Linked DNA regions of Canis lupus familiaris. The protein of the gene in region 1 purifies or fractionates together with the protein of each later gene. This does not show direct contact. Links are inferred from orthologs where the notes say so. Each region holds a gene or a part of one and is shown on either strand. Other genes may lie near its edges. The genes, in order: POLR2M, POLR2G and RPAP1.

Region 1 (9,763 bases):
AATCAAGGTAGCCTCCTAATCACTCCACCTGTATTAATTCTCTATGTGGCACTTGGTACACTATCTAATAGAATGTAAGTTTCAGCATGGCAGACTTGTCTTATTCACCATTATATCTCCAAAGCCTAGATCAGCATCTCATGCACGAGAAGTAATTATTTATTGAATGAACAAATGAATGAGATCTCCAAGGAGGCAAAATAGATGGGATCCAGATCATAGCTGGAGGGATTAACCTTGATTAATGCTCCTGTTATTACTGCTGTTCAACAAACCACCCTTTAACCTTAAAGTTTAAAAAAAATGATTTAATTATGCCCTTGAATTTCATAAGTCAGGAATACAGAAAGAGCCTAGTGGGTATATCTCTACTCTACAATGTCTGGGGCCTCAGTCTGGGAGCCTGGAAGGCTGTTCCAGTCAGGAGCTAGAATCATTCAAAGGTTTATTCACTCACATATCTGGTGGTTAATACTGCCTTCTGGCTGAAACCCCAGTTTAGGCTGACAAAACACCAAACCCCACACAAACTCAGGTTTCTGCATGGCTGACTTACTTCCAAGAGTAAGAACCCCAAGAAAATTAGGCAGAAGCTGCATCACCTTTTACTATGAAGACTGAAAAAAATCACTTTTGCTCTAGTTATAAGCATGCCCAGATTCAAGGACAGGGAAGACCAACCCCATTTTTTTTTTTTTAAGATTTTATTTATTTATTCATGAGAGACACACAGAGAGAGAGGCAGGCAGAGACTTAGGCAGAGAGAGAAGCAGGCTCCATGCAGGGAACCTGATGTGGGACTCGATCCTGGGACCGTGGGATCACGCCCTGAGCCGAAGGCAGATGCTCAACCGCTGAGCCACCCAGGCATCCCCAACCCCATTTCTTGAGAGGAGGAGAGTTAAATTCACATAGTAAGCAGAACATGTGGGATGGGAAATAATTTTGCTGCCATTCTAGTGGACCTGACGCATACCATGGCCAGTTTTGTGGCCTAAAACCAGTGGGAGAAAACAGAGGAGCAGCCTGGAGAAGATTCTGAGGATCTGTGCTACTAATTTTACAATTGATTTGTAATTTTTATCTTCAACTACCTAAGGACTAATGGAAATCTTTCCCAGGTGTTTTTGTTTTGTCCTTTTTTGAGAGAGCACATGAATGGGGCACGGGGGAAGAGAGGGAGAGGAGAGAATTTTAAGTAGGCTCCAGCACCCAGCACAGAGCTCCATGTGGGGCTTGATCTTAGGACCCTGAGATCATGACCTGAGCCAAAATCAAGAATCCAATGCTTAATGGACTGAGCCACCAGGTGCCCGTTTTTGTCCTTTTAAATTGCATTCAAACAACACTCTTTGCAGTGTGGTGGCAATGGAATGGCTAAGTCATCCTGGCAACACTTCACATAATGATGAAACTGTCCTCTCCTTTAATTCTTCATTTTGACGTTTTTTCTTGCTAATAGCCAAATTCATTAGTTTACTGAGGATGATTAATACTCTGAAGATTAGTCCAAGTACCACTGGAAAAGTGATTTATTTAAAGATGTCATCTATTTATTCATGAGAGACACAGACACAGGCAGAGGGAGAAGCAGACTCCATGTAGGGAGCCCGACGTGGGACTCGATCCCGGGACCCTAGGATCACACCCTGGGCCAAAGGCAGCACTAAACCGCTGAGCCACTGGGGCTGCCCAACAATTGGAATTCTTTAGCAGAGATTAGGGATTGTTGGTTTGTGGGCTCCATTTCTTTTCAAGTATTTGGCTCTGGCTGGAGACTGTTAAAACCAATGTCATTCACAGTTTCCTTCTTTGTTAAATTTCTCCATTTTATATCATTTCTCCCCAGACACTGCTGTTAAAATCTGTGTTCTAAACTTACCTTTCATTTGTTTGTTTGATGGTTATAAAAGAATACTTTGCCTCTTTTCGTTCTGAAGTGCAAATAGCCCGCTTTTGTTTTAGGGTGATGTTTTCTCACTTGCCAAACCTCTTGGTTACTGATGAGAACTAGATTGTGCATCGGTGCTGTTAGAAATTCAGATTTGTATTAGGACATCTTGAAGTTCTAAGCTATGTTGTATAAAAGATTCTATCACATACCACTGAGAATTCACAATCACTATGGTTGATACTTACATAAAAAGCTTAAGATTTGTATATACGAAAGAGACATTTCATTAAGAGGAGCATGAGAGGAAGGCTATGAGAAAAATTGAGAGACAGATTCCATCAACTAATACCTGCGATATACATTAGAAGAGACAGAAAAGTACAAACATTAACTCCCTGAGAGAATTCCCGGACTTCACAGTTTTGTTAGGAAAAAGAAATCACCATGCATAAGACAATTGGAGAAGCAGAATATGCTTCAGAGACTGAGGTTTGAGCTCTAAGAGGTATAGTTATGTTCAAGAGCAAGAGCAATTTGGGGCTGGAATAATGTAGAAAGGCTTAGGGGGAAGATGAGGCTTGAATTTAGATTTATAAGGGGCTAGAGGAGGATGGTAGGGGGCAAAATTCTGAGTCTTGAGAGAAAGGCATCCTTGCCTGGAGGACACCAGTGGCCCAGGACCAGGAGGGTTCACTACCGTGGGGTTAATAAAGGCCTCCAGCTGTGGCTCAGGGTTAGGTTGAGGGAGGCTTTGGGGGAGCTTGCCAGCAGACAACTCCCTGACTCCAAGGTCTTACTCAAGTATCTGCTATATAGCTGGCGGAGCAGGTTCTTCTTTTTTTTTTAATTTTTAAAATTATTTATTTATTCATGAGAGACACCAAGAGGCAGAGACACAGGCAGAGGGAGTAGCAAGCTCCATGCTGGGAGCCTGACGTGGGACTCCATCCAGGGTCTCCAGGATCACACCCCAGGCTGCAGGCAGTGCTAAACCGCTGCGCCACCGGGGCTGCCCTGGAGCAGGTTCTTGAGGTCTTTGCAAGCAGGGCTTATGTTGAGAATTTGGATACTTTACTCTGATCAGAATGGACTAGCTTGGGACAATACAGAAATGGCTTCAACTGTATCCCTGGAGTAGTTTCAGATTTTATCTAAGAGCCTCTATCTGATTGGGAGGGAACAGCTCTATTTATTACAGCACTATACACAGGATTGAGAAAATTAAAGATTTTCCATATCAGAGAATGGGGGGAGGTGGTGCTGGAGGTTATAGGGGTGCCCAAACCCCCCAACCGTTACGTGTTGTGACTCTTGCACGCTTTTCCTAGTTTTGCTTTGGGACACAGCTCTGGTAGCTGAGCTGTAAAGACAAAGTCAGAGCCACCTGGGATGCTTCTTACACTGCTCTACTCTTAAGATTCTTAACAACCTGAAAAGAAAAAAAACAAAAACAAAAAAAAACTTTCAACAGTTTTAAACATTTGGAAATAGGCGGAAAAAAAAAGAAGATTTTTTCCAAACGGGTGTGGTAGAAAGAGTAGCTGGGCATTGGAGTGACATCTGGTGCGGCCACTTAACTAGTTTTGTGCCCTGGGAATACCTCATTGATTTTGCGCCTCTGCTTTCCCACGGGCGAATTGGGCAGTTAGGAAGGATCGGTTTCAGGCTGACTTGTCCGGCACCTGCCACCATCACCTCCGGCGGATTCTGGAGGGGCCTGTGTACCTGCGGGGCGGGCCGAGGGTGGGGTCGGGGGGCTGGGGGGGGGGGGGGGGGGACTGGTAGAGGCGTCGGGGATTGTTCCGAGCTGGGAGCTGCACTGAACCAGAGGGCGCAAGCCAGACACATAAATGTCCTGCTCCGAATGCCACTGAGTCCCACTAAGAAACGCTGATAGTCACGAAAAATCCCTCCAACTTAGTTTGAGGACCTCACTAAGCCCTGGCCGCCTGGGCCCCGTCCGGCACACTCCCCCGGCTTCACCAAGGGCGAGTTTCCACTTCCATCCCACTTCTCAGAAGGCACCTGCCGGGGGGGGGGGGGGGGGCTTCTTTTTTCTTTTTTAAAAGATATTTATTCGTGAGAAACAGAGAGGGGCAGAGACACAGGCAGAGGGAGAAGCAGGCTCCCTGCAGGGAGCCCGACGCGGGACTCGAAACGGGGTCCCCAGGGTCACGCCCCCGGTCGAAGGCGGCGCTCACCCGCTGGGCCACCCGGGCTGCCCCTCTTACTGCTGTTTCACCATTACCTGATTAGTGTCTGCCTCCCTCCACCCCTCGGTAAGCTCCACAACGGCAGGAGTCGGGGACACGTGTTGGGGGGTCACAGCGGCGCTACAGGCAACACTTTTCGAATAAACCTGAAGAGCCGAGCCGACGAGCCGCGAAGAGACCCCCGGCGCCAGCGCGCCCCGCCCCCTCGGCTTACGTAACTTCCGCCCCTCCCCGCTCCTCCCAGCGCCCCCTTCCCCTCGCCTGTGTTTGTTTCCGGTGTTTCAATAAAGCTCGATTCGGCTCGAAGAAGCCCCGCTCTTCCGGGAAAATGGCGGCTCCCGCTCGTACCTCGGAGTCCACGCCGGCGGCGGATCCGGCGCCAGCAGCGGGGGCTGCCGAGGGAGCCGAGTGCCCGCCGCCGCGCCAGCCGCAGCCCCCGCAGAATGTCCTCGCTGGCCCGCGGCTTCGAGCCCCAAGTTCCCGAGGACTTGGGGCGGCGGAGTTTGGCGGAGCTGCGGGAGATGTTGAAGCGCCAGGAGAGACTTTTGCGCAACGAGTAAGCTGGGGTCCCGCCGAGTCACCGCCAGGCTTCTCCGGTCGGGGCTCCCTGGGACGCGTTCGTTGCCCTCCCCCGCGTCGGGTTCCCTGCCCTGGAAGGTGACCTTCCCTCCGTCAGACCCGGGGGTGCCGCCGGCCCGCGGACGGCCTCCCGCCGCACAGGCGGCCGCGCGAGGGCCCAACGGCCGGCTGCTGGAGTCTCAGCTGTTCCCTGAGTCCTCCGCGGTGCTAATGACCTTGCTACCCCGACGGCTCCCTGAAGGGAGGGGCCGTGGCCTAAATCCCGTGGCACCTCCGCCTCCCTTGCCGCCCGGACCGGGCCCAGGACACCGGGTCAGTTCCGTCTCGGTCCCGTTCCTACGGGAGCTGTAGGAAGGAGAGGGAGAGTCTGGAGTGCTGCATTAGGCAGGAAAAGTTTGTCCCCTCCAGCTGGCCGACTTCCCTTTAGCAGGTGAACAACATAATGAGAGTGATTTTTTTATTTTATTTTTTTTAAGGACGCTTCATTTAGCAGATCGGTGCAGGATGGTTTTGGAGGAATCCGAGGCAGGCGACAGCTGGAGGTTATTTTCAGAGAAGTTCCCAGCAAGGGGGACTGTAGAAGAGTAGTTGTCGGATTGGGAAAACTCCGACCAGGCGTGGAATAATCGGGGTAGGTAGTTGAAAGGGATGGCTGAAGTTCCCAGCCTGTAGGGAGGACCACTGGTAAGAACAGGAAAATTGGGGAAGAGCTCCGAGGTTGAGTTTACTCGGGGGGTGCTGAGTTGGACAGGGAGTTAGTTAGATGTACTTAGAAGATAGAGTAGGGGGACCCCTGGGTGGCGCCGCGGCTCAGCGCCTGCCTTCGGCCCAGGGCGTGACCCCGGAGACCCGGGATCGGGATCGAGCCCCACGTCGGGCTCCCTGCGTGGAGCCTGCTTCTCCCTCTGCCTGTGTCTCTGCCTCTCTCTCTCTCTCCCTCCTCTCTCTCTCTCTCCTCTCTCTGTGTCTCTCGTGAATAAATAAAATCCTGGGGAGGTGGGGGAAAGCTAGAGTAGTGGTCATGAGGATCCGGAGAGAGAAGGCTGAGGACATGTAGGAATCTCAGCTGGAGAGGGATTCGGTGTTGTAATTGTGGGAAGGAATGTAATGTGAGAGAATGGAGAGCCAGAGGTGTAATCTATCTTCCCTCCGTTTCTAATAGAGATTAAAAAAAAAAAAAAAAAAAGAGAGAGAGAGAGAAACTGAAAAGGAATTTCTGTCAGTCAGCAAAAGGGACAAATGACCATTTGGGAGCTTTCGAGTAGGTTCAAGTACTTTGTGAGAATGGTTTTTTAAATCTATAGCAGCGAGTTAACCTTTTGGTCTCAGGACCCCATTTATACTGTTAAGACTTAAGGAGCGTCCCAAGGAGCTCTTGTTTTACAAGACACATCTACTGGTGTTTTACAAAACATCTACTTACAAAACATCTACTGGTGTTTATTGGTGTGTTAGGAATTACAGGTGAGAAGGGCACTTGGGTGGCATCATCGGTTAAGCGTTGGATTCTTGGTTTTGGCTCAGGTCGGGATCTCGGTGGGGAGATCAAGCCTGGCGTCGGCTCCAGGAGTCTGCTTGGGATTTTCTCTCCCTCTGCCTTTTCCCATTTGTGGTCTTGCGCTCACTCTCTTCCCAAAAATAAATAAATTAGAAAAAAAAGTAATTACAGGTGAGAGATCTTTAAAACACAAGAATACACAGTGATTAGCCATCAGAGCAGTATCACGTGGCCTCTGGAAAACTCCCATTATACCCATATGAGAAAAGGAGCATGGAAATGGCAAATAATGGTTTAGTATTATTATGAAAATAATTTTGACCATGCAGACCCATCCACGTCCCCTCCTTAGGAAGGCCTTGGACATCACACTTTAAAAACTGCGAGTTTTGGGGTGTATTATAGGATATTATGTGCTTAAAATACTTTTGCTGAAATTCTAATTAGACAGATGAGGAATACTTATTTCTGCATCATGTATTTTTAGAGTATTTAGATAATGCGTTTTACTTTATTCCTGTTCTGATGCAGTAGGAAGTCAGATTTTTGGCTTAAAGATAGATTTTTTTTTCCCTTTGAGGATAATGCTTTTGTCTTTGTATCTCAAGTTTAAAAACATGATTCTAACAAATACATGTGTGTTTTTTTCCCCATTTAACAGAAAATTCATTTGCAAATTGCCCGACAAAGGTAAAAAGATCTTAGACTCTGTTGCCAAACTGAAAGCTGCCATTGCAGAATGTGAAGAAGTTAGAAGAAAAAGTGAACTGTTTCATCCTGTTAGTTTAGACTGTGAGCTAAAGCAAAAAGCAATTGCAGTTGTTGATGTGGACACAGATAAGGCCCAGAATTCTGACCAGGTACTTGATACTTCATCACTAGTTTGTGGCTCTTCCTCTGTAAGTAACATCAAGTCATCTCAAACAACCTCACAGCAACAGGGACTTGTACATCCTTTTGGTGAAAGCTATGAAGAAGCTCCAGAAGTGGAGTACACAGTGAATAGGTGCCCAGCCTCCAGCAGCAGAGCCCGTGCACCTTCCTCTTCCGAAGCTAATGTGCGTCTCCCTCAACATCGGGTTTCACGTCAAGCAGAAGATAATTCTAGCAGCTCTTACAACCTGTTTATTGATAAGTTACAAAGGATCACAATTGTGGACCCGGGTGAAGGGCACTCAGAAGAGAGCAGGAGTGCTGAAAACTTGGGAAGGCTCCGTAGTGGGGCACAGAAGAAGCCTCATTACATGGAAGTGCTAGAAATTCGAGCCAAAAACCCAGTGCCCCCAGCACATAAATTTAAAACTAATGTGTAAGTACTATCAGAAACAGGCTGGTCACAGAAATGTACTATTTGTTAAACCAAAAAAAAAAAAAAAAAAAAAGGAAGGAATGCTTTCAGTTCAGTGGACTTTGTGTGGGACCTCCTTATAGTTAGGAAAGAGCATATTGTGGAAACAGCCTGGCCGGAGTGGAGGATTCATGCTGAAAAATACTTTAGGTTTTTAGCCAAATTGGATAGGTTTCACATAGCAGGTGAAGTATTAAATTTCAGGATGCTTAGCCAACATTTGATATTAAACCCAGAGTTGAGAATTTATTGTGACTATTTTCCACAACAATTGTTTGTTATGCAGTTCCCCCTTTGATTAGACTGTAAGCTAAGGGGAAAAAAGCTGATGGACTTGTCATCAAAACATATTAGTATGCTGACTATATGTAAGCAGGTGGTGCTGAGGTGACACAGAAGTAAAGGTCCTGCTCCTCAGGAGTTCAGGGTCTAGATGAAAACCCAAGGCTTCCACACTTGGAAGAACTTTGAACTAGACCATAACAACTTGAGGGGGAAGGTAGCTGAGAAGGGGTTAAAGACACAAAAACATTTGAGGCAGGAGGAGCAAACCTTGCTTCTGAGTTCCTCGCCATAGTTTTGTTACTGAGATCTGCAGAAAAAGAGAAGCTCTTTGAAGAAAAAAGGATGTTACTTCCTTGTGTGCAGATGTAACATTCACCTCAGGGAGTAGCCACTGGTATCCTACCTGTCTGACTTTAGCAGGGTATAACATCATATACAAAGTGGAATCACTACTGCCTGCCTTTGAAAAACTGAAAACCTCTAGTTAAAAATACCTAAAACTTTCAAAGAACTATAGAACTATTACAAAAAAACTTTCAAGTTCAACCCTGCCATTTTTTTTAACTTGAAAACATTTTATTTACTTCTGTATAAAAACCAGAATTATAGAACATTAATTTTTAGTGAGGAACAAAAAGTAATCTTTGTACTCTTTCTAAGTAATCTCTCATCTTGTGTTCAGGGAGGTACATTTCCTTACCTCCAGGAAGCTGGAAAACCTAAAGCATCATGTAGTCAGTGGATACACTGATTGTGGTAGTGTGGTCATTTAGCTGGAAGTCAGAGTGGGGAGAGCCAGATGCTTCTTGTCAGAGCAGATCGGGAAAGGCTGGGCCTGGATGAGTCTGTTAGGTGTTTGTCGAGGGATTCCAAGAATGAGCAGTTTTTGGCTTTTTTTCTGCTCTTCCTTTGGCCTCCTCCATGCCATGCTGGCTCCATGTACCGCCTGGATGCTGGTGGCTGCCCCTCATCTCCCTCTAGCTTCGGTCTTTATAGAACTTCAGATTTGCGTGGCCAGTTACCAATGAAACCTGGCCCTGTGGGTGTTTTGTGGCACTTTAGATTTATATATAGCATAGAACTTTTACTTCTTCCCATGCTTTCTCCCATATTCCCTAAATTCATAGTGTCAGCACTTTGTTTTTTTCCCTAAGGTGTCTTGCTTTTGCCTCATCTCTGTATCTGCCAGCTGTAAAGACCTACATAATATATTTCGTTGACCTTTATCTCTGATCATTCTTATTTTTGTCCTCCTGTCAAAACGAAGGCTCTTATCCCTCTCATGGACTATAACTGGCATGTTTTGGATTCTAGTCTTAACTCCAGCAGTCCATCCTCTCCACTGCTGTCAGAGTGAAATTTGTACAATGCAAATCTGAACCTATTATATAGAACAGAACTCTTCGCTGAGGACTGGGCCTGGTGTACTTACCAGCCTTACCTCGCTGCCTTTCCTGGCCACCCCACCCCCTGAACACCCTTTGTGCAGCACCATGTTGGCCCTCACTCCCTGTTGGGATGCCTTTTCCCCTCATTGACACAGTGAGCATTTATTATTCCAAGACTCCTCAAAATTCACTTTCTTAAAGCTTTTCTGACAGCCCCCTCCCCCGTCTCCCAATAAAACTGGTCGTTTACTTTATGTTGCACTGTGCCAACATGTATAGTATGTATACCACCTCTATGTATGGTATTATCCAGGTGGTATTGTGTTGCACAGAAACTGTCCGTAAGTTTTTTTCCCTTTACTGGACAGCAAACCCCTTCGCAAATGTTTTTTGAATGAAAAGATGGAAAGACGGCTTCAGTTCAAGTGTAAGGTTGGAGGAGTGAAGGAAAATGCAAAGAACTTACCAGTCTACCTATTTGTTGAAACAGTGGATTGTCACATTATTCTCCAAAAAGGTGCTAATTTACATACTGGTTTTGAAGTATGTTTAGAAACA
Region 2 (9,568 bases), on another chromosome or scaffold:
ATTTTAAAGATTTTATTTATTTATTCATGAGAGACACAGAGAGAGAGAGAGAGAGAGGCAGAGACACAGGCAGAGGGAGAAGCAGGCTCCCCCTGGGAAGCCTGACGAGGGACTTGATCCCCAGATTCCAGGATCACACCCCAAGGTGAAGGCAGACGCTCACCCGCTGAGCCACCTGGGCACCCCTGGGTGGCAGAGTCCGTTAAGCATCCCACTCTTGGTGTCGGCTCAGGTCATCTCAGGGTCATGAGATTGGGCCCAGAGTCGGGCTCTGCGCTCAGTGACGTGTCTGCTGAGACTTTCTCTCCCTCCCCCCTCCCACTCGTGCTAAGATAAATAAATAAATAGTTTTAAAAAAAGAGAGAGAGGGCAGCCCTGGTGGCTCAGTGGTTTGGCGCTGCCTTCAGCCCAGGGCACGATCATGGAGCCACCGAATCGAGTCCCACATCGGGCTCCCTTCGTGGAGCCTGCTTCTCCCTCTGCCTGTGTCTCTGCCTCTCTCTCTCCGCGCCTCTCATGAATAAAATCTTAAAAAAAAGAAAAAGAAAAAAAGAGATAAATAATTTAGGAAAAGCAAACAGGACACAGTAATTAAAGCACATGCTATGTGATACACTGTAGAGGTATAAATGGAAAAGCCTGCATCAGTCTGTGCAGGGATGGTGAAGGCAGGAAGAAAACTACATTCAAGTGCCATTTTCTTACCATGTTCCTGCCAATATTCTGGATGCTTCATATCAGGGTCTCTAGACCTTAGCATGATTGACATTTGGGACCAGATAATTCTTTGTTGGGGGGAGGGTGGATGCTGTCCTATATACTGTAGGACGTTAGCTGCATCCCTGGCCTTTACCCACTAGAAGGCAGTACCATCCACAGTTGTCACCAGTTGATAATCACTGCTTCTTTTTTTTTTTTTTTAAGATTTTATTTATTTATTCATGAGAGATACACAGAGAAAGGCAGAGACATTTGGGAGAAGTAGGCTCCCCACAGGGAGCCTTGATAGGGAACTCGCCAGAACCCCAGGATCACCACCTGAGCCAAAGGCAGATTCTCAACCACTGAGCCAACCACATGCCCCGATAATCAGTTTTTTAAATTTATTTATTAAATATTTATTTATTTTATTTATGATAGACAGAGGGGGGTACAGAGACACAGGCACAGAGAGAAGCAGGCTCCATGCCGGGAGCCCGATGCGGTACTTGATCCCGGGACTCCAGGATCCTGCCCTGGGCCAAAGGCAGGCGTGAAACCGCTGAGCCACCCAGGGATCCCCAATCACTGCTTTATATGCATTATATCATGGTTATTATAATCAACAGTTGAGGGTCTATCATGGGCCAGGCTCTCTACAAGCCACTTGTACATGTGATCTCACACTAGCAGCAACCATCCAAAGAGGGTTAATGAGAAAACATAAGGCCCCCAGCTAGGACTGGAACCCAGTTCTGCACCAATTCAAAGACCACGCTTTCTATGACACAGCTCTACTTTCCAAGGAAACAAAAATGCTGAAAAAAATTTTAAAAAGAATTGACTGAGACTTGCTAGAGTAACAGGCAGTAAGCAGACAGGCTGGGAGAGGACATCCCAAGACAGACAAATTGTATTACAAAAGCAGAGTGTGAGCACACTGTGAGGGAGGGTAGTGTGTTTATTTAGTCTTTCAGTCATTTCATAGATTTTGGTTTATGTCACCCTAATGACAGTTTGGGCCCGCTCACATTTTCAATTCAGCTTAGTGACTGATTAATATATAAAGACTTCTGTTGGGGCACCTGGGTGGCTCAGCTGGGTAAGCATCTGCCTTTGACTCAGGTCATGATCTCGGCTCAGATCACAATCTTGGGGTCCTGGGATCAAGCCCCACATCAGGCTCCCTGCTCCATGGGGCGTCTGCTTCTCCCTCTCTCTCTGCCTTTTCTTCTGCTATATTGTCTCTTTCTCTCTCAAATAAATAAAATCTTAAAAAAAAAAAAATGTTTGCAGATCCCTCCTAGGAAGGGCTGCATTGGGAAGCCATAGTCTGGGTCATTACTATCCTCTTATTTCCCTCTCCCTCCTCACTATCTTGTCTTCCCTCATGCCCAGCTCTACCTTTGGCTACTAGTAAAGGCGAGGGCAGGGCGAATATTCTGAGACTAGATCAGGACTCAGAGTGGTTCTAATGACAATGCCATTTGCTAGAAGCCAAAGACCTAACATTAGGGCCTTCCCTTCACTGAAGTCAGTGGTAGCTCTCTGCAGAAGGGATAGTCAGATCCCCTGGGTAGCTGAGGCTACTTGAGGCAGCAGGCCACCAAAAGGGAGGCTAGCAAGCAACTGGCCTCCAGCCTTTTCAAAGAAAGAGTTGTTCTTACCAAAGAAAGGAGATGAAACCTCCATGAGAACAAGGACCTTTTATGGTTAGAATGTACAGTCAAAAACCTGGGGAGTGGCTAAGCATCAAGAAGAACGAGATATTTTCTGTGGACAAGGAACCTTCTCTGCCTCCCCACAGCAACCAGACTAGGCTTCTGGACGATATGCGGAGCATGACCGTCACAGCTCCTAGATGAGGACCAAACAGAGCAGGAGGCCCCGGTGCTCAGCTCACAAGCCCTGTAAGGACAGGAAAAGCACACCAGTTAGGCTCAGGCTCGGGGCAGCCATCACCATGCACTTCCCATCTCATGAGGCACAGGTCCCGATCTTCCAAGCAGACAGTCATAAGAGTTTCTTTCATCTGTGACTCGAGCATTAAGTCCCACATCCACCCCCTGCCTCCACACACCCCTTTCTAGGCAACAACCCTGGACACACGATCAGGCACTCACCCAAGTAATCGTCCATCAGAGAGCCAATAGCAAACTGCAGGAGGGAAGGCAGAAAGGAAACAGAGCCTAAGCAAGCATAGAACTAACTTCTAGCCCAGCCCCAGGCCTTCTGCTCACCCATCCCCTCTTCCTGGCAGAAGAAAACAAAACCCCCAGGAACCCTGCATGGTAAGAAAATCAACAGCTGCCAGCTCTGCCTGGTACAGGTAAGAAGGTAGGCAAGAGACTCACAATGTCATTCTTGTCCACACGGGTCCCCACAATCTTCAAGCGGATCTCATCATCCTGCTGAATCACAATGTCCTGAGGAAGAGTAAACAGGATACTCAGATACCTACAAGCCAAAATTTCTTGGAGGGCTCATTCTTCGTCCTTCTCATGGACTTCTTCCCCACTCACCTCATCCATTGTCTTATAACATGGTGGGTTGGAGTTGGGGTCAAACTCCATCTCTGATGGGATGGACTGAAAGGAAAGCAAGACAGAGCTTTACAGGAGTGCTTCCAGAGAGAGTCATGACTGGCTTCTCTCCTTAGCACCCCCAGCACGCCCAGACTTACATGTCGAGAAATGAAGCAGGACATTGGTCCAATTTCTGTGAAAAGTCCAACCTAAGAGGACAATGGGGGACTTTGTTTTTCTTTTTAAATTTTTATTTATTTGAGAGAGAGAGAGAGCAAACGTGTATAGACAGTGAAAGGGAGAAGTAGATTCCTGCTGAGCAGGGAGCTGGCTGCGGGGCTCCATCCCAGGATCATGACCTGAGCCGAAGGCGGCTGCTTAACCGACTGAGCCACCCAGGCAGGCACCTCGACTTTGCTTTTTCTTTTATCCTCAAATTCACCTAAGCTTCCCAACTTTATCTAATTCCTAATAATATTCTTCATATTTTGAATCCACTCTGAATTGTATCATTTGCTTTCATGTCTCTTCTGCTGAGATTTCATTTCAAGTTACGCAAATACAGTGCACTAAAGAGCCAAGGCCTGGCACTTGTCGGTCCACAATCTGACCACCTGTTGATCACATGACCTTGGCCATTAGACAACTTCTAACTTCTCCAGGCGTAAGCTTCTATAAAAATGGATAAAAGCATGACCTTAGTCACCGTTAGGTTTTGGACCTTACCCAACCCATAATAAGTATTCAATGAATGGAGACTACTATTGCTGACAACTCATACTGACTTACAGGACCCCAAGGGAGGTTTCTGCACCATTTGACAGGTGTAGAAACTGAAGCAAAAGTGACTTACCCAAGGACACAGAGTTAGCAAGAGCAGTTGGGACCCATCCCCCATCTTCTGAGCAGCCACCCAACTGCCTCCACTATGTATGGACTCACCTTGTTGACTTGAGTGACAACAGCATCCACGACCTCCCCTTTAAAGGGCCGGAAAACAATGGCCTTGTACTTAACTGGATAAAGGACAAACCCTCGGCCTGGCTGGATCACACCAGCACCAATATTGTCAATGGTGGTGACAGCAATTACAAAGCCATACCTGTAAGGAGGATGAAAAAAAGAAAGGCATCGTGTGTGCAAGAGCCTCTAAAATCATCTACAACAAAAAAAAAACAAAAAAATAAAAAATAAAAAAAAATAAAATCATCTACAACAAATCAGTGATGATGGGGGTCAGGGGACGGCACAAAGGGAAATAGATGGCACCCCTGCCCACAGAACTTCATGTTGGGAGAAGAATACAGATCAGTATCTATAACTTTTTTTTTAATTTTTATTTATTTATGATAGTCACACACACAGAGAGAGAGAGAGAGAGGCAGAGACACAGGCAGAGGGAGAAGCAGGCTCCATGCACCGGGAGCCCGACGTGGGATTCGATCCCGGGTCTCCAGGACCGCGCCCTGGGCCAAAGGCAGGCGCCAAACTGCTGCGCCACCCAGGGATCCCCGATCAGTATCTATAATGCCAAACACTGCTCTCATGTTTCACAATAAATGTCCAAGGAGACTGCAGTCCTTAAGCCAAGAGACTTCAATCTTGAGGATGCCTCAGAATCACCTAAGAGGAACTTCTTAAAACACAGATTCCCAGAGATCCCTGGGTGGCTCAGCGGTTTAGCGCCTGCCTTCGGCTCAGGGTGTGATCTCGGAATCCCGGGATCGAGTCTTACATCAGGCTCCCTGCATGGAGCCTGCTTCTCCCTCTGCCTGTGTCTCTGTCTCTGCCTCTCTCTCTATCATGAATAAATAAATAAAATCTTAAAAAAAAAAAAAAAAAGTCTGCGGAGTAAACGAATGACCAGTCTCTGCTGAAGTAAGTCTCGCGATCCAGAGGGCACCTCGGGAACCCAGGCCGGAAGCAAGTGACTGCCTCGGGTGCCTGAGAGGGTGAGAGGGTTCCCCGGGGCAGGGGGCAGGTGGCAGGTGCTTGCAGGATGAGTAGGAGTTGGGTAGAGGCTGCAGATCAGGCGGCGCGAAGCACTCGGGACTCACTTGCCGGTGCAGGTCCCCTCCACCTCGGTGAAGAGCTTCTGCTTGACCGTGTTGAGCAGGTTGGGGCCGAAATAGCGCGGGTGCAGCAGGATCTCGTGCTCCAGGGAGATCTGCGGGGAAAGCGGCATGGAGACCAAGCAAGGACGAGGAACAGCATCTCCTCGTCCCGGAGCCCCGCTTCGCTCCTCCTCTTAACCCTGCCCTCGCGGCCACCCCGTGCTCCGCGTACGTGATAGAACATCCTCCCAGCCGGGACCGGACAGCAGCCAAACCCAAACTGCCTCGGTGGTAGCCGCGGTTCTCACGCAACCGGAAACACGCACCGCCCCCGGAACCCTGCTTCCGGGCCTGTCCCCGCCAAGTGGGCGGGACTCCGCTCCCTTCGCGGACCCAATTGGTCATCGCTGTCGTGGGCGGGAAATCGGTGAGGCCCCGCCCTTCCGGCCCAGGTCCTCTGCGGCGCAAATGCTGGCTCTTCTAAATGAACAGTTTCCTGGCCTAGGAGGGATGCGCGATATACTGTTAAACGGAATTAATTAGCTAATAAAAGACAACGTGAATACAGTGCTTTAGCAGAACGCATTCGTGTGGCAAATATTTGAAGGCTGCCTTCACATAGTAAGCATCGTAAGGAGCTGTCTTTATCTCATTTCATGTACATAGCAACACCACTAGGCAAGCTTTACAAATGAGGGACCAGGCTCAGAGAGTTGAGGTCACTTGAGGGTCACGATTCAAATGTGCAGTGTCTGACCTCCAAGACCCTTGCGTATTTGGACATTCCAGATTTTCATGCAGTCATTTGTTCAATAAAATGGAGCACCCCACTCCTTGCTGCAGGTAGTTAGGAGATGAAGCAGCCAAAATCAGAGCCCAGGAGTCAGTCCTCCCTCCGGTGTGAGAAACCAAGTCACTGCACTCCTCTTTCCCGTTTCCCCCCAACCCGCTGACACACACGCATGGGGGGCTTAGAGAATTGATTGGTTTGTTCCCTCAACTCTGCCCACTTTTTTGTAGACAGTCGCTTTGCTAAACTCCCCTCAATTAACCGGAGTGATAATGCAATCTATTCCCTGTTGAGACTGACTGATAAAAGGGCCATGCAGAAAGAGGCAGAAACCATGAGACAGACCCATGAGTAAGGCTCAGCCAGGGCAGCTGGTTCTAGAGCCGGACAATCCTTTTTTCTTTTTTTTTTTAAGAGCCGGACAATCCTTAAGGCTTTGAGCAAACTCCCAGTTGCCTGAGTAAGGTTTTTATGGTGGTTTTTTTTTTTTTTTTATGTTGTAAATAAAAGATCCTGACCCACCCTACAGCAAGAACAGACACTTCACGTCTGCTTCCTCAGAACTGTCACATACCAGTTCGTATGGACACTGTCCATTTCCTGGAATAGTTGATCCCACCAGTCTGCCACTAAAACTCCATGGGGATCCCTTTTGAAGGATCAGGCAAGGAGATCCCTGGGTGGCTCAGCGGTTTGGCCCCTGCTGGGGGCGCCCAGGGCGAGTTCCTGGAGTCCCAGGATGGAGTCCCACATCGGGCTTCCTGCGTGGAGCCTGCTTCTCTCTCTCTGCCCCTCTCTCTCTCTGTGTCTTTCATGAATAAATAAATAAAATCTTAAAAAAAGAAAGATCAGGCAAGGAAGCAGATGAATGGGCCTCAGCAGTCCTGACTTTTCCTCTCTTCTTTCCCAGCCATCCTCCCCTTAAAGGCAATCTTAAGGACAGTGGTGTGCTAGAACCAGCTACAAGAGCCATCACCTCCTGGGGTGCATTGCTGGCTCAGTTGGTACAGCATATGACTCTTGATCTTGGGGTTGGGAGTTTGAGCCCCACATAGAGAGACTTCTTAAAAAAGTAAAATAAAATCTTAACTTCATCTCTTCCTAATTATTTTACCACAGTTTACTATTATCAATGCTCTTTACACCTATTGTGCCTCTGTGGTATGGTAAAATATAATTGCATATGCAGGTATAAGACTTCCGGTTACTCCGGTAGCCTCACCAGCACTCGGTACTTTTTTTTTAATATTTTATTTATTTATTCGAGAGAGAGAGAGAGAGAGAGGGAGGCAGAGACACAGGCAGAGGGAGAAGCAGGCTCCATGCACCGGGAGACCGATGTGGGATTCGATCCCGGGTCTCCAGGATCGCGCCCTGGGCCAAAGGCAGGCGCCAAACCGCTGCGCCACCCAGGGATCCCCCAGCACTTGGTATTGTTAGCAGGGTTTATTTACCTATTCTATCTACTGTGTAGTAGTATCTCATTGTAGTTTTAACTTTCACTTCCCTAATGACTAATAATATTGAACATCTTTTTGTATCTTTATTTGCCAAGAGTAATGTATTCAAAATTCAAGTTGAATCATGTCACTCCCCATCTTAGAACCTAATGGCTTCCCAGGGTACAAGAGGGCTTTGGCTGCCTCCATTTTGACCTCAAACTTTGTTGAGTTCTTCATTCCAGCTAGTCTCTGGGCTCCTGCAGAGACCCTGAGGGCAAACCATCTCTAGAGGGAAACCAAAACTACCCCTCAAGCAGAAAGGACAGTCCTGAGCCAGCAAAACCCCACCCACAATTGCCTGCAAGACAATGATCCATTTAACCTCCACCTACCTGCCCATACGCACCCACCTTTGCCCAGCATTTTCCTTGTATAAACCTAGGGGTATTTTCAGCACTTTGGAGACAGTCTTTGAGATGCTAATTAATTTCCCCAGTGTTGGTCTCCCTGAAATAAATTCCTTTCTTGTTTCACCACCACTTGTTTCTCTGCCTTTGGATTTTGTCAGCCAAGAGTGGCTGAACCCTTTCTGTCTCTGAGCTCCCCAGGCATGGGGTGGCCATGATAAATTTTCTCCAAGCCTTGATCTCTTTGCTTCCAAAGCTTCAAGGTCAGAGAGAGACAAGATAGGATAGAAAGAGAAAACAGCAATGACTTAACAATCAACTGTATTGAGATTAGGCATACAAAGAAAGACTACTGGGCAGCCTGGGTGGCTCAGTGGTTTAGCGCCTGCGTTCAGCCTAGGGCATGATCCTGGAGTCCTGGTGTCAAGTCCCACATCGGGCTCCTTGCATGGAGCCTGCTTCTCCCTCTGCCTGTGTCTCTGCCTCTCTCTCTGTGTGTCTCTCATGAATGAATAAATAAAATAAATAAAATAAAATAAAATAAAAAGCTCAGAGTTTTAAAAAGTCTACTGGAGGATTGAGTGATCTTTTGCTATCTCTTTTTAGAGGAGCCCTTGTGATATCTGTCACTTGTTTCCTAAAGAGAAACAGAAGCAGCAGGTCCTGCTGGAGGGCAATCTCTGAGCAAGGATCATCCATCCCAACTGCCCCCTTCCTGGTTCTGGGCTCCACCTACTGTGCAACCAGTTCTTCCAACAGCTAGGATAATCCTGCACCGAATCCAAGTCTAAATCCTCTGGCCATTGGTTCTACAACAACCCTAAGAACCCCCTTGCAGATACTCTAGGAAGATAGATTCTACAGAATAGTTAGAGCTAGAGTTTTGAAGGCAGACTCAAATTCAATCTCAGCTCTGCCTTTTATTACCTGTGTGACCTTGGCCAAGTTACTTAATGAAGCTGAAGCTGTCATTCTGTCTAGTGGAGAGAGGAAAAGCTATTACAGAATTAGATTATATCTTTAGCACACTGTTAAGCATTTAACAAATGCTAAATAAATGGTAGATGTTTTTCTAACTTCGACTAATACTCAAACACATAGAAGCAAAGCTTTACAAGCTTTTTCCTTGGGGGACAGTTACTACTAGAAGTATGAAATTTCTTCTGGTGTTTATTTATTTATTTTCTTTCTAAGATTATTTATTTGAGAGAAAGAAAGCGAGAGGGAAGAGAGCTTCCTCTCTGCTTCTGGAAGCAGGGTAAGGGTCAGAGAAGCAGACTCCCCACTGAGCAGGGAACCTTATGTGGGGCTTGATCCTAGGACTCCAGGATCATGACCTGAGCAGAAGGCAGACGCTCAACCACTGAGCCACTCAAGCATCCTGAGCATATGACTTGATCTCACGTTGGGCATGGAGCTTACTTTAAAAAGAGAAAGAAAAGAAAGAAAGGAAGAAAAGAAAAGAAAAGAAAAGAAAAGAAAGAAAGGAAGGAAGGAAGGAAGGAAGGAAGGAAGGAAGGAAGAAAGAAAGAAAGAAAGAAAGAAAGAAAGAAAGAAAGAAAGAAAAGAGAAAGCAGAAACCACGCTCTTTATTCTCCTGTCCTGGGAAATGTTAGAGTCTTGCACCCATCCTTCCCTCCCATCAGCACCG
Region 3 (9,785 bases), about 14 Mb from region 1:
TGGCTGCGAGATCTCAAGAAGGCAACCAAGCTGGGATCTAGAGGAGAGGATGGAAGGGAAAGTGGGTGGTGGCAGATCCTCCCCAGCCTCCTGTAGACCTGAAACCTGCTGAATTCTGCCTATTGGTGCCAAGATCAGGACAAGCCATTTCCCACCCCTGGCCTGAGCACCCTAGGTGCTCCTGGGGATTTAATGACCCACACCTGTCACTTGGATGTGCCCACCCACCCTCCTCTCCATTCTTCACAGTCCCCTGGCCCGCCCAGGTTCCTGCACATCCTTGTGCTTGGCTCCAGGTCAGAGGTCCAAAAGAAGGGCTATGGAATAAATGAATAAATGCTGACTGGGGCCAAGAGAAGGGATTTAGGGGAACAATTTATCTCACTTCTAGATGATTTATTTACAAATATTTACTGAAACCTAATCTACGTATGCTCTATGAAGATGCTAGATACACAGTCTGGAAAAGATTGACTTGGTGCTACTGTTCTGGTGAACAGAAACTAGGAAGGAGGTATAGCACGCTCTAGCATGCTATACCTCTGCTATATCATGCTATACCAAGACATTTCATAACTGTGCCAGAGAGCACCAGCTATAATCTAGCATACACTACACTAGCACAGCATACATGATACAGTGGTTGAGAGCAGGGCCCGTTAGACCTGATAAACCTGGGTTTACATCTCATCCGTGTTCCTTACCAGCCATATGACCTGGGAAAGAGTTTTTTCAAGTTCTGAGACTCTTTTTTTTTTTTTTTTTTTTAAATAAGTAAATGAAGTTAGTACTACCTACCTTAGAGGAAATGTTTGAAGACAGAATGTAATAATGCATGCAAATAGTAAAATGCCTGGCACGCACAGTAAACTTTCATCAGCAAGTAGCAGTCCCTTCCCAGCCCAGTCTCAGGAGGAAAGCCAGGTATGCCGTACCGAGCTGAGCCAGCAACCGCTGCTGTTCCTGAAGGATCTCCTCAGGAGCCATGGCTTGCAGTTTTGCTATGTTCTCTTCATGGATGGTCTGGGCTTCCTGCTCAGCATCCTGGCTCCTGAGCCCCTTCCCTGTGACCAGATGGGGTCCCTGGAAGCCAGGGCTGCCCCATGGAAGCTGGCAGCCCTGCTCCCTGGGTGCGAGTGCCTCATAGGACACAGCACCTGGAAGAAGTATATGATCAGTTTCATCGCCTCATCCCAACTGGGCCTTCTAGCCCTCTTCCCTAATCCTATTAGCTCTGGAGACAGACAGAGGCCCCAAAGATTTCCTAGGCACAGCATGGAGACACCTCCCCCCTACCCTCCATAACATAAACACAGGTTGGATTGGGTGGTGACCTCTCCACTCATTTTTTTCCCCTTCCTGAGGGATGTTTCCCTAAGAAATATCCTACTTTCTGACTCTTCCCTTGGATGTTCAGGCAGCCATCTGCCTCCAGAAGCCTGTCCCTAGCTCTTTTGCTAATATTTTGCATTGTTAAAGGAATCTTGGCTTTCATCTTTATTTTACAGTCTCTGCCAGACACCTCTCTTTCTTTTCTCCTAGGGTAGAATAACAGCCGGCATTCTCCCTGTACTTAAGACCCAGATATAAACCCAAACCACCCGAACTCAATCCTGTAAGTGGGGATAAAGGACAGATTCCTCTTTAGATGGCTCAAATGCCATCTAAATATGCCTTCAAGGGATCCCTGGGTGGCGCAGCGGTTTGGCGCCTGCCTTTGGCCCAGGGCGTGATCCTGGGGACCCGGGATCGAATCCCACATCGGGCTCCCGGTGCATGGAGCCTGCTTCTCCCTCTGCCTGTGTCTCTGTCTCTCTCTCTCTCTGTGACTATCATAAATAAATAAAAATTAAAAAAAAAAAATTTAAAAAAAAATAAATATGCCTTCATATTTGATGTAGGGAAGACATATACCACAAAGTGACTCTACGATTATGTATTACAAAAAGGCCAAGCCCAAGCCTCTTCTTTTTTTTCACTTTTTAAAATTTTATTTATTTAGGAGAGACACAGAAGGAGAGGCAGAGACACAGGCAGAGGGAGAAGCAGGCTCCATGCAGGGAGCCGGACATGGGACTCAATCCTGGGTCTCCAGGATCAGGCCCTGGGCTGAAGGCAGCGTTAAGCCGCTAAGCCACTGGGGCTGCCCTGCCCAAGCCTCTTCCACCCCAGCTTACCCTCTGGTGGATCCAGGGAAGATACAACTTCTCTAACTGGTGGAACCTTGGCTTCGGATGCTCTCTTTGCTGCAATTTCTTGGGCAAAGATGCTTCTCTTGCCAGATATTGCTGACCTCCCCTATGAGACAAAAAGGAAACCCAGGTGACTACTACTACCCTGGTCATTTCTTAACCTCTTTTCTCTAAGGCTACTGGAACAAAAGGACTTGCTTAATCTCCAAGGATCACAACCCTAGTCCTCAGAAAAGCAGGGCTCTATAGGAGGACTGGTCTGGAAATCTGACAAATTTGGGTTGGATTTCTGGCTCTTCTATTAGATGTGTGGTGTTGGACAATTTACTTAACTTTTCAGAGTCTCAGTTTCCTCACCTGAAAAATGGGGATGATGATATCTATCTTACATGGTTGTTATGAGGATTTTTTTTTTAGGGTTTTATTTATTCATGAGATGGGAGGGTCAGGTGGGCAGAGACATAGGCAGAGAGAAAAGCAGCTCCCCTTGGGGAGCCTGATGTGGGACTCAATCCTGGGACCCCAGGATCACGCCCTGAGCCAAAGGTAGATGCTCAACCCCTGAGCCACCCAGGTTTAGCATGGTGCTACCTTAACAAGAAAATTGCTTATTATTCAGATTATCTGCCTGAGGAAGATGCACTATGAGGCTCACTTAATGTCTCCCAGGTACCATCTAAGCACTTTGCCTACTTGTCTCTCCTGTGAGCGATGGAACACAGGAGGGAAAGCAACACCACTGGGCACAGGCAGATTCACTGTCACTGAACTTGTATCTCGTTCCTGCAGCAACAAAGCACAAAGGAGTGAAGATATTAAGATTTCCCCAGGCTGGACACTATCCTACTGGCCCCAATTCTGTATGACTAGAATCTCTAGGGAGTCATGGACCCATCTTCCTTTTTTGAGTACAGTGATTCTAAAACAGCCCCAAATGGACTGCAGGAGCATAAAGTTCCACCTTTTTTTTTTTTTTTTTTTTTTTTAAGATTTTTATTTACTTATTTGACAGAACACAAGCAGGGAAAGTGGCATAGGGAGAGGGAGAAGCAGGCTCCTCAAGGAGCAGGGAGCACAATGCAGGGTTCTACCCCAGGACTCTGGGATCATGACCTGAGCTGAAAGTAGATGCTTAACTGACTGAACCACCCAGGCACCCCTAAGTCCCACCTTTCTGAATCACCCTCTACTCATACAGCTCACCACCCCCAACCAAAATCCTTGCTGCCTAGGATGCCTCATCCCACCCAACCAGGGTGAGACGCACAATAATTTTTGTCAGGACAGCAGTGATGTGCTGATCATGCCTGTTCAGCCTCTCTTCAGGGTCCTCATGTTCTGGTAGGAGACAGCCAGGGCTGGGTCTAGCTCTCTTTGAAGGAGCAGGAACCAAAGCTGGGGGTGAATCTGGGAGATCTGAAAAAGGAAAAAAAACAGATGTGAGGGTAGGAGGAAACCAAAGAAAGAAAGGCAGCTATGAAGCCCCGGCCCAAGCTGTGTCACTCTGGACAAGATATTTAAACTCTGTGAACCCACTGTCTCTTCACATGCAAAATGGGGCTGCAGCAACAGAGGCTACACAGTATCTGAAATAATGAAGGGGGAAAATCCAGCCACATCAGGAAGAGGGAGAGGATCCCGAGGCCATACCCTCTCTCCTCCTCAGCCACTCACTGTCCAGTGTCACCACATCCCGATGATCTTGCAGCAGAGGCTGGTCCAGGTTAGTGTCACCACCTCTCCTATTTCCTTTCTTCACCAGTTGTACTGCTGGAGCTGCACCAGCTGCAAGAAACTGACTCTGGAAGCGCAGCAAATCCACCTCTGACTCGCCTGGCTTTGGTCTCGACAGCATCTTGACACGCCAGCTACTTCTCTTGTGCAATTCTTTCCAACACTGCTTGGGTGTGGGGATTCCCTCTCATTCACCCCTATAAGCAATAAAGTTGATGGGCCCTCTGCAATTGAACCTTGATTCTTTATTGTGCATCAGAGAAGATACTTCTTAGGTTCACATCAACTCATTCCTTCTCATTCATACCTTACTGCTATTCCCTATTTACCCCTCCTGGATGTCATCAGCCTAACAATATTTACTGCCAACTTAAGGTTCTTTACAATCTGTGGATGATAAAAATTCTCAGGAACAACTGTAGGGAACCTAAGAAAAAGGGCATCAGGAGTCAGGCAGATAGGGCAGCCCAGGTGGCTCAGCGGTTTAATACCTGCCTTCAGCCCAGGGCATGTTCCTGGAGACCCAGGATCGAGTCCCACGTCAGGCTCCCTGCATGGAGCCTGCTTCTCCCTCTGCCTGCATCTCTGCCTCTCTCTCTCTCTCTCTCTCTCTCTCTCTGTGTGTCTCTCATGAATAAATAAATAAAATCTTTAAAAAAAAAAAAAGGAGTCAGGCAGATAAATGTCATACCAGGGACTAATGATTCTGTATCAAATTTGAGAGAATATGCCTGGCCTAAAGGTGTTCAAATTATTAAAAAGCAAAACAAAACAACCTTGCGCTAAGAAAGATCAACATATAAAAATCATCTGTATTTTTATACACCAACAAAAAGAACAATCAGAAAAAATTAAGAAAACAGTATCACTTACAATCGCATCAAAAAGAGTAAAACACTTGGGAATAAATTTCACCAAAGAAGTACAAAACTTACACTCTGTCGAGCCCCACAACTGCCCCTAGGACTCTGCGGTCGCATACATTTCTGGACCACCCGAATCAGCAGAGAAATCACCGAGTTTCAGCTCAAGCAGCCCCGCGGATGGAAGGCCGTAGTCGGGATCTCCACACCGAAGAGGCCGCGGCCACTCCAGTGCAAAGCAAAGACACTCTGGGAAGCTCCGACAAAGGAACTGGATACCCTATAGCAGAGCCCTGCGCCGGGGAACCCTGAAGTCCTTCCCTCCAGCGTAGCCCCGTACCTGCCCTAGGGCCGCCTGGACTCCGCCATCTTGCCCCGCAAGGGCCGGACTTCCGCCGTCACCAGGTCGGGGCTTCCGCCCCGCAACCCAGCCCCGCCTCTCCCCGGCCTGGCTCCACCCCTCTGGGGTTTGCTCGCTTAGCGCGAGGACGCACACATGCACACACCCCTTTTTTTTTTTTTCCAAGTTTTTTTTTATTTAAGTAAAGTCTATATCCTACGTAGGGCCCCAGCTCCACCCGGAGCTGGAGAGTCGCAAAAGCTCTTCCGACTGAGCCAGCCGGGTGCCCCTGCGCGGGGGACCCTGAGCGCCGGAGAAATACGGCTAGTTCCTGCTCTACCCCACCACGTAAGCTCTGTGCTGACACTTAAAACACTCATCCTTCGGATGTACAGCAGGCACAGGCTCTTCTGCACGTACGACACCCGTGACAGAGGCAAACTGTACTTCAGACGCCCCTCTGCGCTCACCAGTCCGGATGATCACATCCTAAACCCATGGGCAGTACCCAAGATGACCGCCCCCCTGGATTTGTGGGTGAGCAAGAAGATAAGCATGTGAAAGGAAAGGCGAGAAACGCTGTAGGAATGGTATTAGTGAGAAGAGAGAAGGAAACAGCCTGATTGCCTTTGCTCATGAAAATGTCTTTTCTTGGAAATCCTTCCTTTTTTCTCTCCCTCCTCCTACCCACAGAGTCTTTCTTTTCCTTTAAGTCCTAGCTGGAGTGTACTCTAAAACCTTTGCCAGGGGGCACCTGGGTGGCTCAGTGGTTGAGCATTTGCCTTTGGCTCAAGTGGTGATCTTGAGGTCTAGGAATTGAGTCCCGCATCAGACTCCCTGCAAGAACTCTGCTTCTCCCTCTGCCTGTCTTTGCCTCTCTCTCAGTGTCTCTCATGAATAAATAAAATATTACACACACACACACACACACACACACACACACACACACACACAAACCCTCTGTCAGCCAGGCCTATTCACTGAGCTTTCCTTGGACTCTTCCACTTTACCACTTGTGTGGCTTGTTGGGAATGCACTGCCAATTATCAGCTATCACTGGTCACATTTTCACTAGCCTCTGTGCTGTTCTCTTGAATAGACTGTGAGTTCCTTGGGGGCACCAGGCCTTCTTTTATGCATCAGTAGTGCTCAGCAACCAGGATGTTGCTATGAATTTAGGACTTTAATAAATCATTGCTTGACTGAAGGCCATCTTAGGGCAGCCAGTGTTAGTCCATCGGTTCTTGAATTTTAGCAGGCATCAGAATCACCTTGAGGGCTTGTTTTTTTGTTTGTTTGTTTTTTTGTTTGTTTCTTTGAGGGCCTGTTAAAACAAATTACTGGGCCTCACCCTCAAGACTTTAGGATTCAGTAAGTCTTGGACAGGATCCAAAAATATGCATTTCTAAAAGCTCCCAGGAATTCTATAGAATCTTTCTTTAGTTCTCTTGGTCACAACTGCAGCAGTAAATTTCAGTTACTAGGCTTTAGCCATCCTTAGGATCCAAAATAGTACTGGACCTGGTCAGAAATTATGGGGAGTGAGGAAAGGGAACTAGAGCTAAAAATGCTGGAAGAATGATAGTAGAAAATCATTGTTTGCAACCCCTAATAAAATCATCGCTCCAGGCAATGATCATCAATGATTGATAAAACTATTAGGTGAAAGGTCGATGAGGCTCTTACATATGATGGATCAGGTTGCCAACTTATGAACATCAAGGGGTCAGCTAAAAGTGAGACCACTGGACATATTTTGCTTCTGATTTGATGCATTTGGGAGTACAAAACATCTCCCAAGAAGCCTTCAGGCCAAAAAAATTGAACTTGAATCTAGTGAAGGATTTAGATCTAACTACCAATCTACAGGAAATATGGGTGATAGAAGAACATGTTAAATGATAACACAAGAATACAATGAACCAAACCCCAGTTGTGGAAAATTCTACAAATAACCAAGTTTCTTCTCTAAATTTCCTGTCCAGGATAGAAGGGGGACCTTTTATAGATTTATAAATACATAAGAGACTATCAGTTAAATATGTGAGCTTTAAAAAAAAGATGCAAAAAATAAATAAATATATATATTATCCTTGTTTGGATCCTGATTCAAACAAGCCTAATGTAAAAAGATGTTTTTTGAGACTATTGGGGAAAACTAAACACAAACTGGGTTTTATATGATAATAAGGATTTTTTTTAAATTATTCAATATGAAGATATTTTTTTGAAAAATAAACTTTATTTTAGAATACTTTTAAGATTTCATTTATCTATTTTTTTAAGATTTTATTTATTTGGGGATCCCTGGGTGGCGCAGCGGTTTGGCGCCTGCCTTTGGCCCAGGGCGCGATCCTGGAGTCTGGGGATCGAATCCCACATCGGGCTCCCGGGGCATGGAGCCTGCTTCTCCCTCTGCCTGTGTCTCTGCCTCTCTCTCTCTCTCTCTGTAACTATCATAAATAAATAAAAATTAAAAAAAAAAAAAAGATTTTATTCATTTATTTGAGAGAGAGAGAGCATGAACCAGGGGGAGAGGCAAGGGAGAGATAGAAGCAGAATCCCTTCTTTGCTGGGAGCCCCATGTGGGTTTAAGAACTCTGTGATCATGACCTGAGTCTAAGGCAGAGGCTTAACCAACTGAACTACCCAGGTACCCCTTTATGTATTTATTTGTTAATGTAATCTCCAACCCCCAATGTGAAGCTCAAATTCATGACCTCAAGATCAAGAGTCACATGCTCCACTGACTAAGCCAGCCAGGAGCCCCTAGAATAGTTTTAAATTTACAGAAAAATTATAAAGAGTTTCCATTTACCCTAACATAGTTTCCTCACTTCTTAAAAAGATTTTATTTTTATCTATTTATTTTGAGAGAGGGTGGGGGGAAAGGAGTGGTAGAAGAAGAAGGAGAAAAGAATACTAAGCAGGCTGCAGTCCCACAGCGGAGCCTGACATAGGGCTTAATCCCATAATCCTGAGATCATGACTTGAGCAAAAATCAGGAGTAAGAGGCTCAACTGACCAAGCCACCTAGGAACCCCGAAGATTTTACTTTTAAGTAATCTTTCTCTACATCCAAAATGGGGCTTGAACCCACAACCCCAAAATCAAGAGTCAACACTCCACTGACTGAATCAGCCAGGCACCCTCCATTTTTTTATTTTATTTTTTATTTTTATGTTTTATTTTATTTTATTTTATTTATTTATTCATGAAAGACACACACAGAGAGGAGAGAGAGAGGCAGAGACACAAGCAGAGGGAGAAGTAGGCTCCATGCAGGGAGCCTGACGTGGGACTCCATCCCGGGTCTCCATGATCGCACCCTGGGCTGAAGGTGGCACTAAACCGCTGAGCCACCCGGGCTGCCCACCCTCCATTTTTTTAAAGTTTATTTCAGTAATCTCTACATCCAAAGTAGGGCTTGAACCCATAACCCTGAGATCAAGAGTCAATACTCTTCTGACTGAGTCAGCCAGACACCCCCATCCCATTTTTTTAAAATATTTTATTTATTTATTTGAGAGAAGGATTGAGGGAGAGCAACAGGGGAGAGTAAGAGGGAGAAGTAGACTCTCCGCTGAGCAGAGAGCCGGATGCAGGACTTGATCCCAGGACCCTGAGATCATGACCTGAGTGGAAGGCAGACACTTAACTGACTGATCCACCCAGGTACCCTTCACCCATTTTTTAAGTAAGATCTATGCCTGATGCTTGAGCTCAGGACCCTGAGATGGAGATCAAGAATCACATGCTCAACCTACTGAGCCAGCCAAGAGTCCCAGTTTTTAATATCTAACATTAATACAGTACATTTATTAGAATTATTGAACCAGGACACTTGAGTGGCTCACTTGGTTAAGCATCTGACTCTTGATTTTGGATCAAGCTCCACCTCAGGCTCCTAGTTCAAGGGGAATCTGAGATTCTCTCCGATTTCTTCTGCCCCTCCCACTGCTCCTACATGCACTCCCTCTCTCTCAAATAAATAAATAAGTCTTTTTAAAAAAAGAATTAATGAACCAATATTGACACCTCATTACTAACGAAAGTCCATATTTTATTCAGATTTCCTCAACCTTATCCTAATGTTCTCTATTCCATCAAGACTATTTAATTGTCATGTCTCCTTAGGCTTCTTCTGGTGGTGACAGGCTTGCTTTTTTTTTTTTTTTTTTAAGATTTATTTATTTCATAGAAAAAGAGAGAGAGCATGAGCAGGAGAATGGGCAAAGGGAGAGGGAGAGTGAGAGAGAGAGAAGCTGACTCCCCACTGAATGGAAAGCCTGACACAGGGCTGGATCTTAGTTAGGACCCTGAGATCATGACTGGACCCAAAATCAAGAGTCAGGCACTCACCTGACTGAGCCACTCAGATGCCTCTAATGGTAACAGTTTTGTAGACTTTTTTTTGTTTTTGATGACTTGGACAGTTTAAGGTAGTACTGGTAGGATTGTACAGAACATCCTTCAACTAGGATTTGCCTAATGTTTTTCTCATGATTAAACTGGGATTATGGGTTTTGGGGAGGAAGAACATAGAGCTGAAATGTCATTTTTATCACATTGTATCAGGGGCACCTACTATCAAAATGACTTACCACTGTTGGTGCTAACCTTAATCTCCTAATCACCTGGCAGAAGAAATTCAGA

What was found.
Region 2: the proteins of POLR2M (region 1) and POLR2G purify together in Homo sapiens (affinity purification with mass spectrometry; 4 studies listed by BioGRID and IntAct, counting the BioPlex papers as one, with this or other methods). This does not show direct contact. The link is inferred for Canis lupus familiaris from reciprocal best matches to the Homo sapiens genes POLR2M and POLR2G.
Region 3: the proteins of POLR2M (region 1) and RPAP1 purify together in Homo sapiens (affinity purification with mass spectrometry; 3 studies listed by BioGRID and IntAct, counting the BioPlex papers as one, with this or other methods). This does not show direct contact. The link is inferred for Canis lupus familiaris from reciprocal best matches to the Homo sapiens genes POLR2M and RPAP1.

What each region holds. Positions count from the first base shown.
Region 1 is NC_049251.1:23,179,405-23,189,167, forward strand, and holds the start of POLR2M (protein GRINL1A), read left to right. Parts: upstream 1-4,416; 5' UTR 4,417-4,550; coding exon 4,551-4,663; intron 4,664-6,845; coding exon 6,846-7,493; intron 7,494-9,763.
Region 2 is NC_049239.1:54,433,647-54,443,214, forward strand, and holds POLR2G (DNA-directed RNA polymerase II subunit RPB7), read right to left. Parts: upstream 5,725-9,568; 5' UTR 5,523-5,724; coding exon 5,511-5,522; intron 5,392-5,510; coding exon 5,282-5,391; intron 4,327-5,281; coding exon 4,167-4,326; intron 3,434-4,166; coding exon 3,383-3,433; intron 3,288-3,382; coding exon 3,222-3,287; intron 3,126-3,221; coding exon 3,054-3,125; intron 2,857-3,053; coding exon 2,823-2,856; intron 2,608-2,822; coding exon 2,594-2,607; 3' UTR 2,387-2,593; downstream 1-2,386. UniProt on the Homo sapiens protein: Core component of RNA polymerase II (Pol II), a DNA-dependent RNA polymerase which synthesizes mRNA precursors and many functional non-coding RNAs using the four ribonucleoside triphosphates as substrates.
Region 3 is NC_049251.1:8,860,565-8,870,349, forward strand, and holds the start of RPAP1 (RNA polymerase II-associated protein 1), read right to left. Parts: upstream 5,215-9,785; 5' UTR 5,130-5,214; exon of another isoform or gene 4,862-5,129; intron 4,124-4,861; 5' UTR 4,048-4,123; coding exon 3,867-4,047; intron 3,609-3,866; coding exon 3,460-3,608; intron 2,976-3,459; coding exon 2,886-2,975; intron 2,299-2,885; coding exon 2,178-2,298; intron 1,158-2,177; coding exon 936-1,157; intron 38-935; coding exon 1-37. UniProt on the Homo sapiens protein: Forms an interface between the RNA polymerase II enzyme and chaperone/scaffolding protein, suggesting that it is required to connect RNA polymerase II to regulators of protein complex formation.